2 linked regions of the Saccharomyces cerevisiae S288C genome follow. The protein of the gene in region 2 interacts with the protein of the main gene of each other region in a biochemical or structural test. Each region holds a gene or a part of one and is shown on either strand. Other genes may lie near its edges.

Region 1 (6,499 bases), on a different chromosome or scaffold from region 2:
AGAAGATGCCTGATTCGCAAGCAAACCTTATGGACAGACTGCGTGAAAGAGAGAGACGTTCGGCCGCATTGCTTTCTCAAAGGCAAAAACGTTACCAGCAGTTTCTAGCGATGAAAATGACTCAGGTATTTGATATTCTTTTTTCGCTGACCAGGGGCCAGCCTTATACAGAGACATATCTAAGCTCGCTAATCGTAGATAGTTTACAAGATAGTAATAATCCTATCGGTACAAAAGAAGCAAGTGAAATTTTAGCTGGGCTACAAGGTATCCTACCAATGGACATATCTGTTCATCAAGTGGATGGTGGGTTAAAAGTTTATAGATGGAACAGTTTGGATAAAAACAGATTTTCTAAGCTGTTGCAAATCCACAAATCAAAACAACAAGATTGAAGAATATTTTTAGATATAAGGTAGAATACGTACATTTACGGTAAAAAAAAAAAAAAAAGAAAAAAAATTGATCTTGATACATACGTTGGTATTTTACTTTGAAGACTGTGCATTGTGTATGTACGAAAAGAAAGGGAAATAAAAAATAACGACAACTGCAGGACTCGAACCTGCGCGGGCAAAGCCCAAAAGATTTCTAATCTTTCGCCTTAACCACTCGGCCAAGTTGCCTTTAATCTCTTGAGTTTGTTTAAGGACAACACTGTCCACCTGGCATGGGAATATTACCATTATTCCAGATTCGGGCTTGTTATTAGGACTTTTTACCAGCTTGATTTACCGGTCATTACTTATCCTACACATCATACATCACAACTACACTTGGTGAAGAAATCACAGAGCCTTGGATTTGTAACAATTATATGTTTACGCAATTTATCTTGGGAAAGCAGGGCCTCATTTGTGGACATAGCACGGTCTGTCACCCTCGTCGTGCAAAAAATATTTTGACTTCTACTCTTTTTGAAGTTTCGTTGATCGGGTCCCTTCCAAGGAAAAGTCGAATGCTGTCACTGCGCATATAAAGGCGAGAACGATAGTGACTGTGATATTAAGTTATTGTCATCATATAAGTAATTTTTTCTCTGATATCTGTAGCCCTAGTTTTTAATATTTTCGTAAAATGCTCAAAAAAATTTCTGTTTAAATTCTTCTGGGGTATATACACATGTTCCCGTCAGCTAAATTAAAAAGAAGAAGGAACCGAAAGAAGGCAAATTATAAAGTAATCATCCTCGGCATATTGAGGGGAAAATATCCGTCAAAAAAAAAAGTTCTGCACGTCGTCATAAGTGACTATGGTATCAAACACCAATTAACACGAACGTAGCGATAATGAAGGCAACTTCGTAGCTGAAACAGAACGAAGTTAGTTAGGATGAATAATTATGATTATGATTATTATAATATTATATAAAATGTATAAATAAGATTTCTAGATCAAAAAAACATCGCGTATTTTGTAAGCTATAGAAATCTAAAATATCTAATCAGATCTTGGAGCTTCCTTGAAGGAGATGGCAGCTTCTTCACCCATGGCAGAAATGATAGTGACCATCAAATCCTTACCTTCATCGAAAGCAGCTTGCATGCTGTCACCCAATTCACCTTCTGGTGCCTTGACATCGTCTTTGGTTTCACCGTCCATGGTCATCAAGGACAAGTAGCCATCATCAATATCCAACAATTGGTATTCGCTTCTCTTGACAAATGGAACTTCCAAGTTGTGAGTGGATGGAGACAAATCTTCCAACTTCTTACCAGTGAAGATATCAAGGGTAACCAAATGGACCTTGGCGTGACCGTGCTTACCGGTCTTGGAAGTGGACATGTCGACAATCTTACATGGTCTACCTTTGATGACAACGAAACCATTCTTTCTCAAGGCAGAACATTGCATTGGGTAGGTGGCGGAGGCACCAGCGTCAGCATTTTCAAAGGTGTGTTCTTCGTCAGACATGTTTTAGTGTGTGAATGAAATAGGTGTATGTTTTCTTTTTGCTAGACAATAATTAGGAACAAGGTAAGGGAACTAAAGTGTAGAATAAGATTAAAAAAGAAGAACAAGTTGAAAAGGCAAGTTGAAATTTCAAGAAAAAAGTCAATTGAAGTACAGTAAATTGACCTGAATATATCTGAGTTCCGACAACAATGAGTTTACCAAAGAGAACAATGGAATAGGAAACTTTGAACGAAGAAAGGAAAGCAGGAAAGGAAAAAATTTTTAGGCTCGAGAACAATAGGGCGAAAAAACAGGCAACGAACGAACAATGGAAAAACGAAAAAAAAAAAAAAAAACACAGAAAAGAATGCAGAAAGATGTCAACTGAAAAAAAAAAAGGTGAACACAGGAAAAAAAATAAAAAAAAAAAAAAAAAAAGGAGGACGAAACAAAAAAGTGAAAAAAAATGAAAATTTTTTTGGAAAACCAAGAAATGAATTATATTTCCGTGTGAGACGACATCGTCGAATATGATTCAGGGTAACAGTATTGATGTAATCAATTTCCTACCTGAATCTAAAATTCCCGGGAGCAAGATCAAGATGTTTTCACCGATCTTTCCGGTCTCTTTGGCCGGGGTTTACGGACGATGGCAGAAGACCAAAGCGCCAGTTCATTTGGCGAGCGTTGGTTGGTGGATCAAGCCCACGCGTAGGCAATCCTCGAGCAGATCCGCCAGGCGTGTATATATAGCGTGGATGGCCAGGCAACTTTAGTGCTGACACATACAGGCATATATATATGTGTGCGACGACACATGATCATATGGCATGCATGTGCTCTGTATGTATATAAAACTCTTGTTTTCTTCTTTTCTCTAAATATTCTTTCCTTATACATTAGGACCTTTGCAGCATAAATTACTATACTTCTATAGACACACAAACACAAATACACACACTAAATTAATAATGACTGAATTCAAGGCCGGTTCTGCTAAGAAAGGTGCTACACTTTTCAAGACTAGATGTCTACAATGCCACACCGTGGAAAAGGGTGGCCCACATAAGGTTGGTCCAAACTTGCATGGTATCTTTGGCAGACACTCTGGTCAAGCTGAAGGGTATTCGTACACAGATGCCAATATCAAGAAAAACGTGTTGTGGGACGAAAATAACATGTCAGAGTACTTGACTAACCCAAAGAAATATATTCCTGGTACCAAGATGGCCTTTGGTGGGTTGAAGAAGGAAAAAGACAGAAACGACTTAATTACCTACTTGAAAAAAGCCTGTGAGTAAACAGGCCCCTTTTCCTTTGTCGATATCATGTAATTAGTTATGTCACGCTTACATTCACGCCCTCCTCCCACATCCGCTCTAACCGAAAAGGAAGGAGTTAGACAACCTGAAGTCTAGGTCCCTATTTATTTTTTTTAATAGTTATGTTAGTATTAAGAACGTTATTTATATTTCAAATTTTTCTTTTTTTTCTGTACAAACGCGTGTACGCATGTAACATTATACTGAAAACCTTGCTTGAGAAGGTTTTGGGACGCTCGAAGGCTTTAATTTGCAAGCTTCGCAGTTTACACTCTCATCGTCGCTCTCATCATCGCTTCCGTTGTTGTTTTCCTTAGTAGCGTCTGCTTCCAGAGAGTATTTATCTCTTATTACCTCTAAAGGTTCTGCTTGATTTCTGACTTTGTTCGCCTCATGTGCATATTTTTCTTGGTTCTTTTGGGACAAAATATGCGTAAAGGACTTTTGTTGTTCCCTCACATTCCAGTTTAGTTGTCGACTGATACTGTTAATAAACTCATCGGGCGAGGCTTCCACGGTTGGAAAAGCATATGGGCTGGCGCATATGGTTATAAAATCACCTTTTTGCAATTCAATTCTATCTTTCCCATCAAAAGCCGCCCATGCTGGAGCCCTTGACTTCATCGAGACTTTCACTTTTAAATTTATACTTTCTGGTAAGATGATGGGTCTGAAACTCAATGCATGTGGACAAATGGGTGTTAAAGCGATTGCATTGACGGTTGGGCATACCAATGACCCACCTGCACTCAAAGAATAGGCCGTGGACCCAGTCGGAGTAGCAGCAATCAGTCCGTCCGCCTGCGCAACGGTCATTAATGAGCCGTCACCATACAATTCTAACATGGATAGAAAAGGACTTGGACCACGATCGATGGTCACTTCGTTCAAAATGTGGTGTGTGCTTAGTTTTTCCACCACACATATTTTCTTCCCCGTGTTTGGGTCTACTTCAGGGCGGTGTCTACGATAAATTGTGCACTCCAACCTCAACCGTAAATTTGTCTTGATTTTATGATTCATAATCCGAGGTAAATCCTCCCTGAAATGTTCAAACTTAAAATTTGTTAAAAATCCTAGAGACCCTAATGAAAACGACATAACGGGTGGTACATGTCTCTGAAAAATGGAACTTACAAAAAGAACAGTACCGTCGCCACCCAAAGTCACTACCAAATCGAAGAAAACATCATGTTCCCTGATGAAATCCTTTGTCCAATACTTGATCCTTGATTCTCTACATTTACTATCTTCACATAACTCGCCAGCGGCAAATTTTTTGCTGTTTTTCAATTCGGAATCCACATAAACAGTCACACGTGGAAAATGTACCAAAACCCATTCTACCAACTCTCTTGTTAAGAAATACAGTGAGACATCGTTGAGTTTCGTAACAATCATCAAATTTTCCACATCCAGTTCCACTTTGGTATTAGATATATCTTTACTCAACATTCTTACACCATACGCCGTGGAGGCATACTGAAAGTGTGTATTACTACTCTTAGAACTTCCTCTTGTTCCGTTAATGCTCGTACCACCGCCACTGTTTGCATTGCCGTTCACGAGAGATGAATCTTTATTCAACAGGGAGCTTCTGCGCGAGCTGCTTTCACTTGATATTTTCCTCAACATTTCTTTGGCGTTGTCGATATCCTGAGTTCTATCAATTTGCTCATTGTTCATCATGGCCTTCTTCATCAAGTTATTATTGTTGTTATGATGATCATTTCGACCATCTTCCTCATTTACCCATTTATCTACGCCATTATTCATGTCATTCTCCTTCATCTCAAGAGCTTTTACTCTACTTATTTAGGGAGCCTATTGTATTTTTTTTTGGCTTACGATCACGATGTCAATGATCATTTGCCCTATTATACCTTTTTCTCCGTTCTCTTTGCGTAGTGCGGTGAAATAATTTCAGGATGCATGAAAGAGCAAATAAAAGTGACACACCGTTATATCGCAAGGCGCACCACATCAGTAATCAGATACCTGTGCATTCAAAATGAGTAGAAATGTAGATAAGGCCAACTCAGTTCTGGTACGATTTCAAGAGCAGCAAGCAGAGTCGGCAGGTGGATACAAGGATTATTCACGTTACCAGAGGCCCAGGAACGTGTCTAAGGTAAAATCCATAAAAGAGGCCAACGAATGGAAGCGACAAGTAAGTAAAGAGATAAAACAAAAAAGCACAAGAATATATGATCCGTCTTTAAATGAAATGCAGATTGCGGAACTTAACGACGAACTTAATAATCTTTTCAAAGAATGGAAGAGATGGCAGTGGCACATTGACCATACACTTATGGAAAAAAAAACCAAGAGGAAAAGGTTAGAAGACAGTCATGTGCTGATGAATTCAGGAAAGCTGATAAATGGTAAGAGATATTTTGGAAGAGCCCTGGAATTGCCTGAAGTAAAAGAATGGCTCAAGCAGTCTCAAAGGCAGAATGATGGGGGTTCTATAAACACCAAATGCATACCGAAGGATAGAAATGATTTTTATTACCATGGCAAAGTCACAGCCGCCTTAACCGAATTTGAGGCTAACTGGACATCCATTTTGAAAGCACATTATAATGTGCCTGTGAATGAAGATGAAGAAGAAATGTCAAGGCAGACACAAGAAATCCATGTACCAACTCTGGCAGATATGGAGCATTGGTTAGTGCAAAGAAGAAAAAAGAAACTAATGGATGAACTTAACCTTTAGCTATGGAAAATTATTCAAACATTTAGAAGAGGCACTATTTCGAATGACCATCACAAGCATTATAATCTTCAAACATGTCCGAGCTGCAGATATGAAGTAAAATAGTGATCGGGACTCATTTTTTTTTCTTCTATGATATCATATTGTCCCGTTCGTTATTAAATGTAATTCTTCCACCGTACTAGTTATCGAAGGCAAGATCTCCTTTTTACGCTTAGGTAGATTACATAGATTTCATAATGTACACCAATACAAATGTATCTTATACACTCGTCAAATCTTATATGAATCATGCAGGAGTAGCTCTCGTTTTCTTTTTACGAGCTACTTGAAAAAAAAAAACTAGCGAAAATCCTTTGCTTAGAAATCCAGATTTAAAACAAAACCGCCGAAAAGGGAAAGATTTTATGATAGGAAATACCTTAATAATTCTATATCATCCCGAGTCTTAGGAAAATGATTAGATCTGTGAGAAGGGTTTTCATTTACGTCTCAATATTCGTATTGATAATAGTTTTGAAAAGAACATTAAGTGGCACAGATCAAACGTCAATGAAACAAC
Region 2 (7,727 bases):
TTAATAATTTTGTTTCGACATACAAAAAGTCTTGCTTTTTATGAGGATGCAAATTTTTTGTTAGTTGTGCTTGGTCATCTTTCACGTCTAATCGAAAAATATTGAAAGAAATAATAAAAGTTAGGGTTTCAACTTTTACAAGTCAGGTTATTTTTATGATATAATGTATTGCTGCTACAAGTTACTAGAAATTTCAGCAAAATCGACGCTGCCTCTTCCAACTAGTATGTACAATAAAATGCAAGTGTATCGACATTTTTGAATGATCATGTTGAGTTAAAAATAGAAGTGGCTCCTAATATGACCGTTGATGCGATGTAGTCTGCACTTTTTACAAAGTAAATGGCACTGAGAGACGTTTTTGCCAAACAAGTACTAAATAAATTGTAGAACGCAGGACAGGGAGGATTTTCACAATTCATAACTAAAATAGTATGCTATAAGAGTCACATTTCACAGATATTTCTTCCGTGATAGTTTAATGGTCAGAATGGGCGCTTGTCGCGTGCCAGATCGGGGTTCAATTCCCCGTCGCGGAGATTTTTTTCTTTTTCTGCTCTTCTTAGAAGAGGTTAATACCACTGATACGGCTAATTTCAAGTTCATTCTTGATGACCTCTAAACAAGGGCTGGGAATACTCAAAAGACCAGAGGCACTAGCTGCAAACATGACAATTCTTTGAAAGTAAACTTTTTAGCTAAATACTGACTAAATATTTTTATACATATAAAACTATTAATCCTAACATATATTAGTAGAAAAGTCATTCATCTGGAAAGTTAGAGCTCAAGCCTAAATAAAAAAGCCAACATATGACTGATCAATACGATTGGAGTGTTATATACACGAGAATCTGTAAATATGTATAAATTGTCTTTTATGTGTTCCTTCAGAATTCTGAGATTGTACTTATTCGTCCCAGCCGTCCTTCCATCTTTTTTCCCAGAAATTACAGTCAAATTTGGGCTTCCTCAATTTCTTATTGACTTTATTGTGGGCTTCACACATCCACCTCCCAAGTTCTTCTCTTGACTCAACTTGTGGTGCATTTTCTCTGATATATTTTTCAAAGTCTTTAGCACACCAGTTGCAAGGATAAATATGTGAGAAGATATTCAAGAACTGTTTCATTTCACCCTTCTGTTGGTCTGTAGGTTGAGCAGGATAGCTGGCAGCTACAGAGTGTAACAGCGTCCATGAAGATCTACCTAGTTGCTCTACGTCAGGAGGGTCAACCTTCCTGTATGTTCTTGAGCCAGGCATCAACTCTGAAGCTTCGCCAGTGAGAGCCCCCGTACCTGCTAGTTTACCGTTAGATGAGAGGTTCTTCAGGCCATTAGATATCTTCCCGGTCACGTACTGAAAGTCAAGTAGGGTGTTACATGATCGGCAACTATTATAGAGAATTTGTTAATAAAAAATCACAAGCTTGATTGGATCAGTAGATCCTGAATTGCTTTGCGTAATCCAACATACGGTTTGCCATCTTCGTCATATATTATTTTCCTCCCACTTAAGCCTTCTTGTGGTGGATTATCCGTCATTTTATCTATTGCTTTCATGAAGCTTTGTATTCATTGAAAGTTGAGTGTTTTTGGCTTTTCCCCATCTTTAGATTTAGATTATGACTAAACCTGATAGAATAGTTGCCGTAATAAAAGCGGCCCAAGAAAAATAACTAGTATATAATTATAAAGCAGAAATAAAGGAAGTTATGTACAGGAGTATACTGCATATACACATATTATGTGAAAACTAGCTTATCTGATATGATATGATGCGTGAATAAAAAGCTTTCTTCTTTTTTTTCTAATTTTCCTTCCTTAATCAAGAGGTTGAGATGACAACGTACTTGTAGCATCCATTCTTAATTTTTTTGTAAAATCTTTTGTCTTTAATGGTCTTATCTTCAAGGAAGAAGTATCATTAACATCGATTGTACCACTATCAATGAGCTGCCTCTTCTGTTTTATGTATTCCTTTGCTGCATCTAAGGCCGCTTCTCTGCAAAGCTCTTTCAGGTCCGACCCAGAAAATCCTTTGGTATTGTCTGCAATCAGTTGCAAGTCGAATTCGTCTTCGTCTAGTTTAGTGTCTTTTAATAAAACACTTAATATTTTGTAACGTTGATCAGAACCAGGCAATGAAACAAGAAACCTTTTTGGTAACCTCCTCAAAAACGCATCATCTATGTCATTTATCCGATTAGTAGCACCGATAATCATAACCCTTCCATTATTCAATAAGCCATCCCATAAAGTCATGAATTCAGCTTTTAAGGTTGCCGTAACTTCATGATCTGTAGAAGACCGTTCTCTAAGGAATGAATCAATTTCGTCAATGAATATTATACAAGGTTGTAACTTGTTCGCCAATGAAAACATTGCATCGACTATTTTGTTAGATTCACCATACCATTTATCCATTATAGATGACATTCTTATTGAGATAAAATTAGCACCACTTTCCTTGGCTAGGGCCTTCGCCAACATGGTTTTACCACATCCTGGTGGCCCATATAGCAAGACACCGCTAGGTGCTTGAAGTAAAGGGCTATTAGAATATACTTCTGGCATCATCAAGGGATATATGACACTTTCATGTAGATCTGAAATAAGCGGGTCTAAGCCACCAATATCCTGGAATGTAATATTTATTTCATCTGGCGTAACGATAGAAGATAATATAGTCCTTTCATATGCATCTAATGTTACTTCTGCCAATGCCGGTGATCTTTTCACCAGCTTTTCCCATTGCAAGGACTGTTTGGCCTTTGATTCCCTTGATTTACCTGATAACGGTCCTGATTCAACATCGTTGAGTAGCCGACTGACCAGGTAGTATAATGATATGCCAGTCCCAACTAGGACGGAAAGATCAGTAATCGTTTTTAAATCAAATTTGCGAGACATTGGGCTTCCTTTCTTTTGAATCCTTATCTCTTTTCGTTCTTGCTTCTTCCTTTTTTGAAAACGTGTCAAGACGCTTCTATAATATAACGATTTTTAGGAAAGCTAAACTATCGATTTCCGCCTGTCCAGTAAATAGAGATTATATGGTGTAACCTGTTGTGTTGGACAGATATAAGTCATTAAAAAAATAATAACTTCCTTGACCAATTGTATTGAAATACTTCAGCCAAGAATTTATATTGACTTTACTACCTCTTTTTCAAGAGGTAAGAAAAAGAACACTCCGATACGGGGAGTCGAACCCCGGTCTCCACGGTGAAAGCGTGATGTGATAGCCGTTACACTATATCGGATGGTAATCTGTGAAAATTTCTGGCTTCAAATAGCTAAATAGCAATGTTTTTAAAGAGCTGATGCATTTATTAGAATAAAATTTCAATGTCATCCAGTGGCTGGTATTTATATTACTTGTATTTTATCATATACGGTGTAAAAAAGATACCATGAAGATTGAGAATGAGAAATATGTGAATGTTGAGATAATTGTTGGGATTCCATTGTTGATAAAGGCTATAATATTAGGTATACAGAATATACTAGAAGTTCTCCTCGAGGATATAGGAATCCTCAAAATGGAATCTATATTTCTACATACTAATATTACGATTATTCCTCATTCCGTTTTATATGTTTATATTCATTGATCCTATTACATTATCAATCCTTGCGTTTCAGCTTCCTCTAACTTCGATGACAGCTTCTCATAACTTATGTCATCATCTTAACACCGTATATGATAATATATTGATAATATAACTATTAGTTGATAGACGATAGTGGATTTTTATTCCAACATACCACCCATAATGTAATAGATCTAATGAATCCATTTGTTTGTTAATAGTTTGAATGTTTTTATCGGAAGAGGTTTGGTCATTACGTCTGCAATATTCTTTTTGGTTTCGATATAGCATACGTGCAGATGATTTCCTGATACTTCATCTCTCAATCTCATTGCTTTAGTACCAAAAAATCTGTTCCTAAATTTCTCTTCATTATTGGATATAATTATACTGATTGTAGATTTACTGTCGGTTAGTAATCCTTTGGTAATTGGTTTCTTGTCAAGTTCTTGTATCAGGTAACTTAGATTATTTAATAATGGGACAGATTCACTTATCGCGTGTATTTCTGCTTCCGTAGTTGAAGTACATGTTAATGAAGCCTTGGTGGACTTTCCTCCAATTACCTTTCCATTAAGTAAATATATGTTGCCAATTTGTGATTTATAATACGGTTGGTTGCCATACGAGGCATCGCTTATAACAACTAATTTATTTGTTGGCTTAACAGGTTTGCTTTTGTGCCATATTAATTGCTTATCTCTCGTATTCCATATGAACTGTATCAATTCATATGTCATATCTAACACTTGCTTGGACGGAAATAGTATATGTTGTGCAAGTGTGTTGATGTAGTATAATAGGTCAAATCTAAATTTATATCCAACATATGATGCTAGACCTATCAGCTTTTGCATTTCATGTACCTTCATTTTGTAATCATCTTCTTCTAGCTCTAGTTCTTGCTGGTCTATATATAGACCTGGTTGACCTGGAGCGCTAAGTTTCCTTCCTTTTGGGTTCAAAGGTACGTTTAGTTTGGGTATTTTTTCAGTTAATGAGTTTTCCATACCCAATTTCATGTATTTACCTCTTTGGTATTTGATTTCCAAGCCAAGAATGTCATATTGAATTTCCTCATCACTTTCGCCTAGATTTATAATCTTGGTGTCGTATTGCATCTTAAGCTTGTCTATAATTCTTTTGTTTGAATTTAGATTTTTGCTAAACAATACCATATCATCTACGAATAAACAAATTGTCACTTGACTGTTTTTAAATACGCATGACCATCCACGAACTTCTTCCATACCACATTGTTGTATCAGGTATGATTTGATAGTTTCGTACCAGTTCGCTCCACTTTGTTTCAATCCATAAAGTGATTTCTTCAAACGTATCAACTTATCATTCATTCCTAAATGTGGTGGAGGTCTTATGTATAATTCTTCTTTGATGTCTGCATACAAATATGCCGAAGATATGTCTAATTGTGTAATATAGTAGTTATTGTCTAATGCAAGTGACAGGGATGTCATTAATGCATAGTGATGTACGGTATTGGATTGCATGCCTGAGTCGTAAGTGTCAGGATGCTGAATATCACCTCTTGCAACAAATCTAGCTTTATGAGTACCGTCACGTTTCTTGTTGAAGATAAACATTGAGTTTATTACTCTTTTAGGGTCTATTTCTTTTCTGTCATAATATTCGTCAGTGTCCCAAGTTTTCATCTTCAACAGTTGATTGACTTCTTTGTGGTATGCCTCGATATATTTTTCTTTTTCTTTAATATCTTTATTATAGGTGATTGCCTCATCGTATCGTAAGGTTGTCCGTATTGGTTTGATTGATTTTACTGCTTTTACAGCTGCAATCAGGTGAATTCGTTTCTTCGATCTCGGAGGTTCTAAACTACGCATATTCTTAGTATTCCATGTGTCTCGTGATACCTTAATTTCAGTTTCATTATCTTCTAATGATCTTTTCTTACTGTTGATAGTAGTATAGGCATTAGAGTCACCAATACCACCCAAACTGGAATTAGTTTGACGAGAATTGATCGGTGGGAGTTCTTTAAATGGGTCAGGGAATTCGGTAGGAGATTCTGGAGGTAGATCAGGGAGTGGGAGATCAGCGATGATAGATTCCTCGGTATTCTGTTCAGAAACAGTAGTTGGCGTTTTGATAGGAACAATATTGTGCGATGAATTATTTTCCGGTGGAGAAGCATCGATTGAAGGTGAACGGTGTATAATCCTTTTCTCAGTCTCTTGGTCACTTATCTGCGGAACAGTTTTGTTGTTGGTACCACCCGTACTGGATATTGGTACGTTTGTATGATTAGTCTCATTTTCACTGTACGAGTCTGAGTGTCTGAAATCTTTAGATTTACTGGCGTGCGACGACTCATGTGTGTTAGATTGGGACATGGGAGCAAGTAAAGGAACATTTAATTTATGCATACCACCCGAACCGGTACTCTCGATATTGGAAATTTGGGGGGTGCTAGATCTCTTCTTTGATGGAAGAATATTAGATTCAGATATGTTGGGGTCAACTTCTCTGGGTGCGCGAATATTGGTTTTAGAAACACGTTTCGAATCTTCAGTATGAGTTGACGGAGGTGTGGAATCGGTTGGACTCACAGCTTTTGAAAGGACATTTCTCGGTTGCTCAGGATGTAGTTCAATGTCGGATTGGAAGTCATGGTCAGATTCTATGTTAAGATCATTGGATTCTTGGATCTCATTTGACGCAATGAACGAATGATATGAAGCAGTTAAACGGTTTAAGTCTTCATCGAAAGTGAGTGCGTCGTAATTGAATTGATCTAATCTGGATTCCTTGCCCTGAAGAATAACATAGTTAGTTGTATCTACTGTCTTCTTTAAGGATGGAAGATAGATGATATATCCATAAGAGTTTCGAGACGGATGTAGAGCGTAGCCTGGGATGCCACGAGGATGTATTTTGGAGTTAGGGTTGTGATCATTGACGATAACAGGTTGACCGAAAGGTAACAAAGTACTGATATCAAGTCCTGCCAAGCCAGCATGTTGTCTTGCAGATTTTTTGCTTTTAGGTGAAGCTAGTGAATTTCTCACAATAGTAGAAAATTCGATTGCAGAGAACCATAAATGGTTCGGTAAACCACTACATTGCAGTTGAGTACGGCAGTCATCTAATAAGGTACGGTTTAGCCGTTCAGCGACTCCATGTGCTCGGGAATCCGCTGTGGTTGTATAGCATGGAGTTATACCATTTTTTTCAAGGAATTTATGGAGAGTTCTGTTAGTATACTCAGAACCACGGTCCATTTGTATAACCAAGACACTGGCCTGAAATTGGTTTTTAATGAAAGCTAGTATCGTGGTAAATACATCGAGGATAGAGTCCTCGCGACGGTCGTGCAATGGATAAACCCAACGGAATTTTGTTGTCTCATCAGTAAATGAGATGAAATAGGATGGTGCACTTTTTGGTAGGTTGTGAACTGGACCAAATATGTCAGTATGTAGGTATTGAAAGGGTTCGTATGAATTTTGGTATTTTAGTCGTGAACCTTTGATATGTCTGTGTTTGGTGCTTTTGCCGATTAAACAATCAGGACATTGATAGTCAATAGCACTAGACCAGTCGACATCTGATTCGTTAAAATACGTGATGGTGTTATTTTTAAGTGAGTATCGAATTGTCTGTGCATTGGCATGCGCAAGCATTCGATGAATGAAAGGATAAGGATATTTGCGTGTACTTTCACTTGTATGGACATTATTGATGGTGGGTACGGAGATATTTGATGGAAGCAAGTACCTTTTAGATACCCAGTAAAAGTCTCCATATTGTACGATAGGTGCAAGTACAGTGCCGTCAGATCGTTCTAAGACGTTTTTGGTAAAGCATGCTGTGATATCTACTGCAGCCAATTCATTCAAACTGAGTAAGTCATAGGCTATGTTAGGAGTGTGCAATACCTTTATTGATGTTTTGGTGTTGTCCTGGAAGTGAAATTGTAGGTCACCAATAGCGTTAATTGGTATATTTCTTTTTTGAGCATCAACTACGTTTATGTCAGGATTAGATGATGCTGAGTGTATGTGATGAGCAGATCTTATAAGGGTTCGTGATGCTCCTGAATCGAGAAGGAGGTGTCCAGGGAGTTCATCATCAGAATGATTAGTGTGATTT

What was found. Proteins that work in one complex are often made in the same cells at the same time.
Region 1: of the proteins of ERV1 (region 2) and CYC1, one has a biochemical effect on the other in vitro, tested with the Saccharomyces cerevisiae proteins (2 studies listed by BioGRID, with this or other methods).

The regions. Positions count from the first base shown.
Region 1 is NC_001142.9:523,468-529,966, forward strand, and holds CYC1 (cytochrome c), read left to right. Parts: upstream 1-2,867; coding exon 2,868-3,197; downstream 3,198-6,499. Other genes in the region: TAH11 (Tah11p), read left to right, coding at 1-395; ANB1 (translation elongation factor eIF-5A), read right to left, coding at 1,441-1,914; UTR1 (NADH/NAD(+) kinase), read right to left, coding at 3,417-5,009; ISY1 (Isy1p), read left to right, coding at 5,230-5,937; OSM1 (fumarate reductase), read left to right, coding at 6,394-6,499.
Region 2 is NC_001139.9:537,389-545,115, reverse strand, and holds ERV1 (flavin-linked sulfhydryl oxidase), read right to left. Parts: upstream 1,564-7,727; coding exon 1,478-1,563; intron 1,395-1,477; coding exon 911-1,394; downstream 1-910. Other genes in the region: protein-degrading AAA family ATPase MSP1, read right to left, coding at 1,825-2,913. UniProt on the Saccharomyces cerevisiae protein: FAD-dependent sulfhydryl oxidase that catalyzes disulfide bond formation. Required for the import and folding of small cysteine-containing proteins in the mitochondrial intermembrane space (IMS).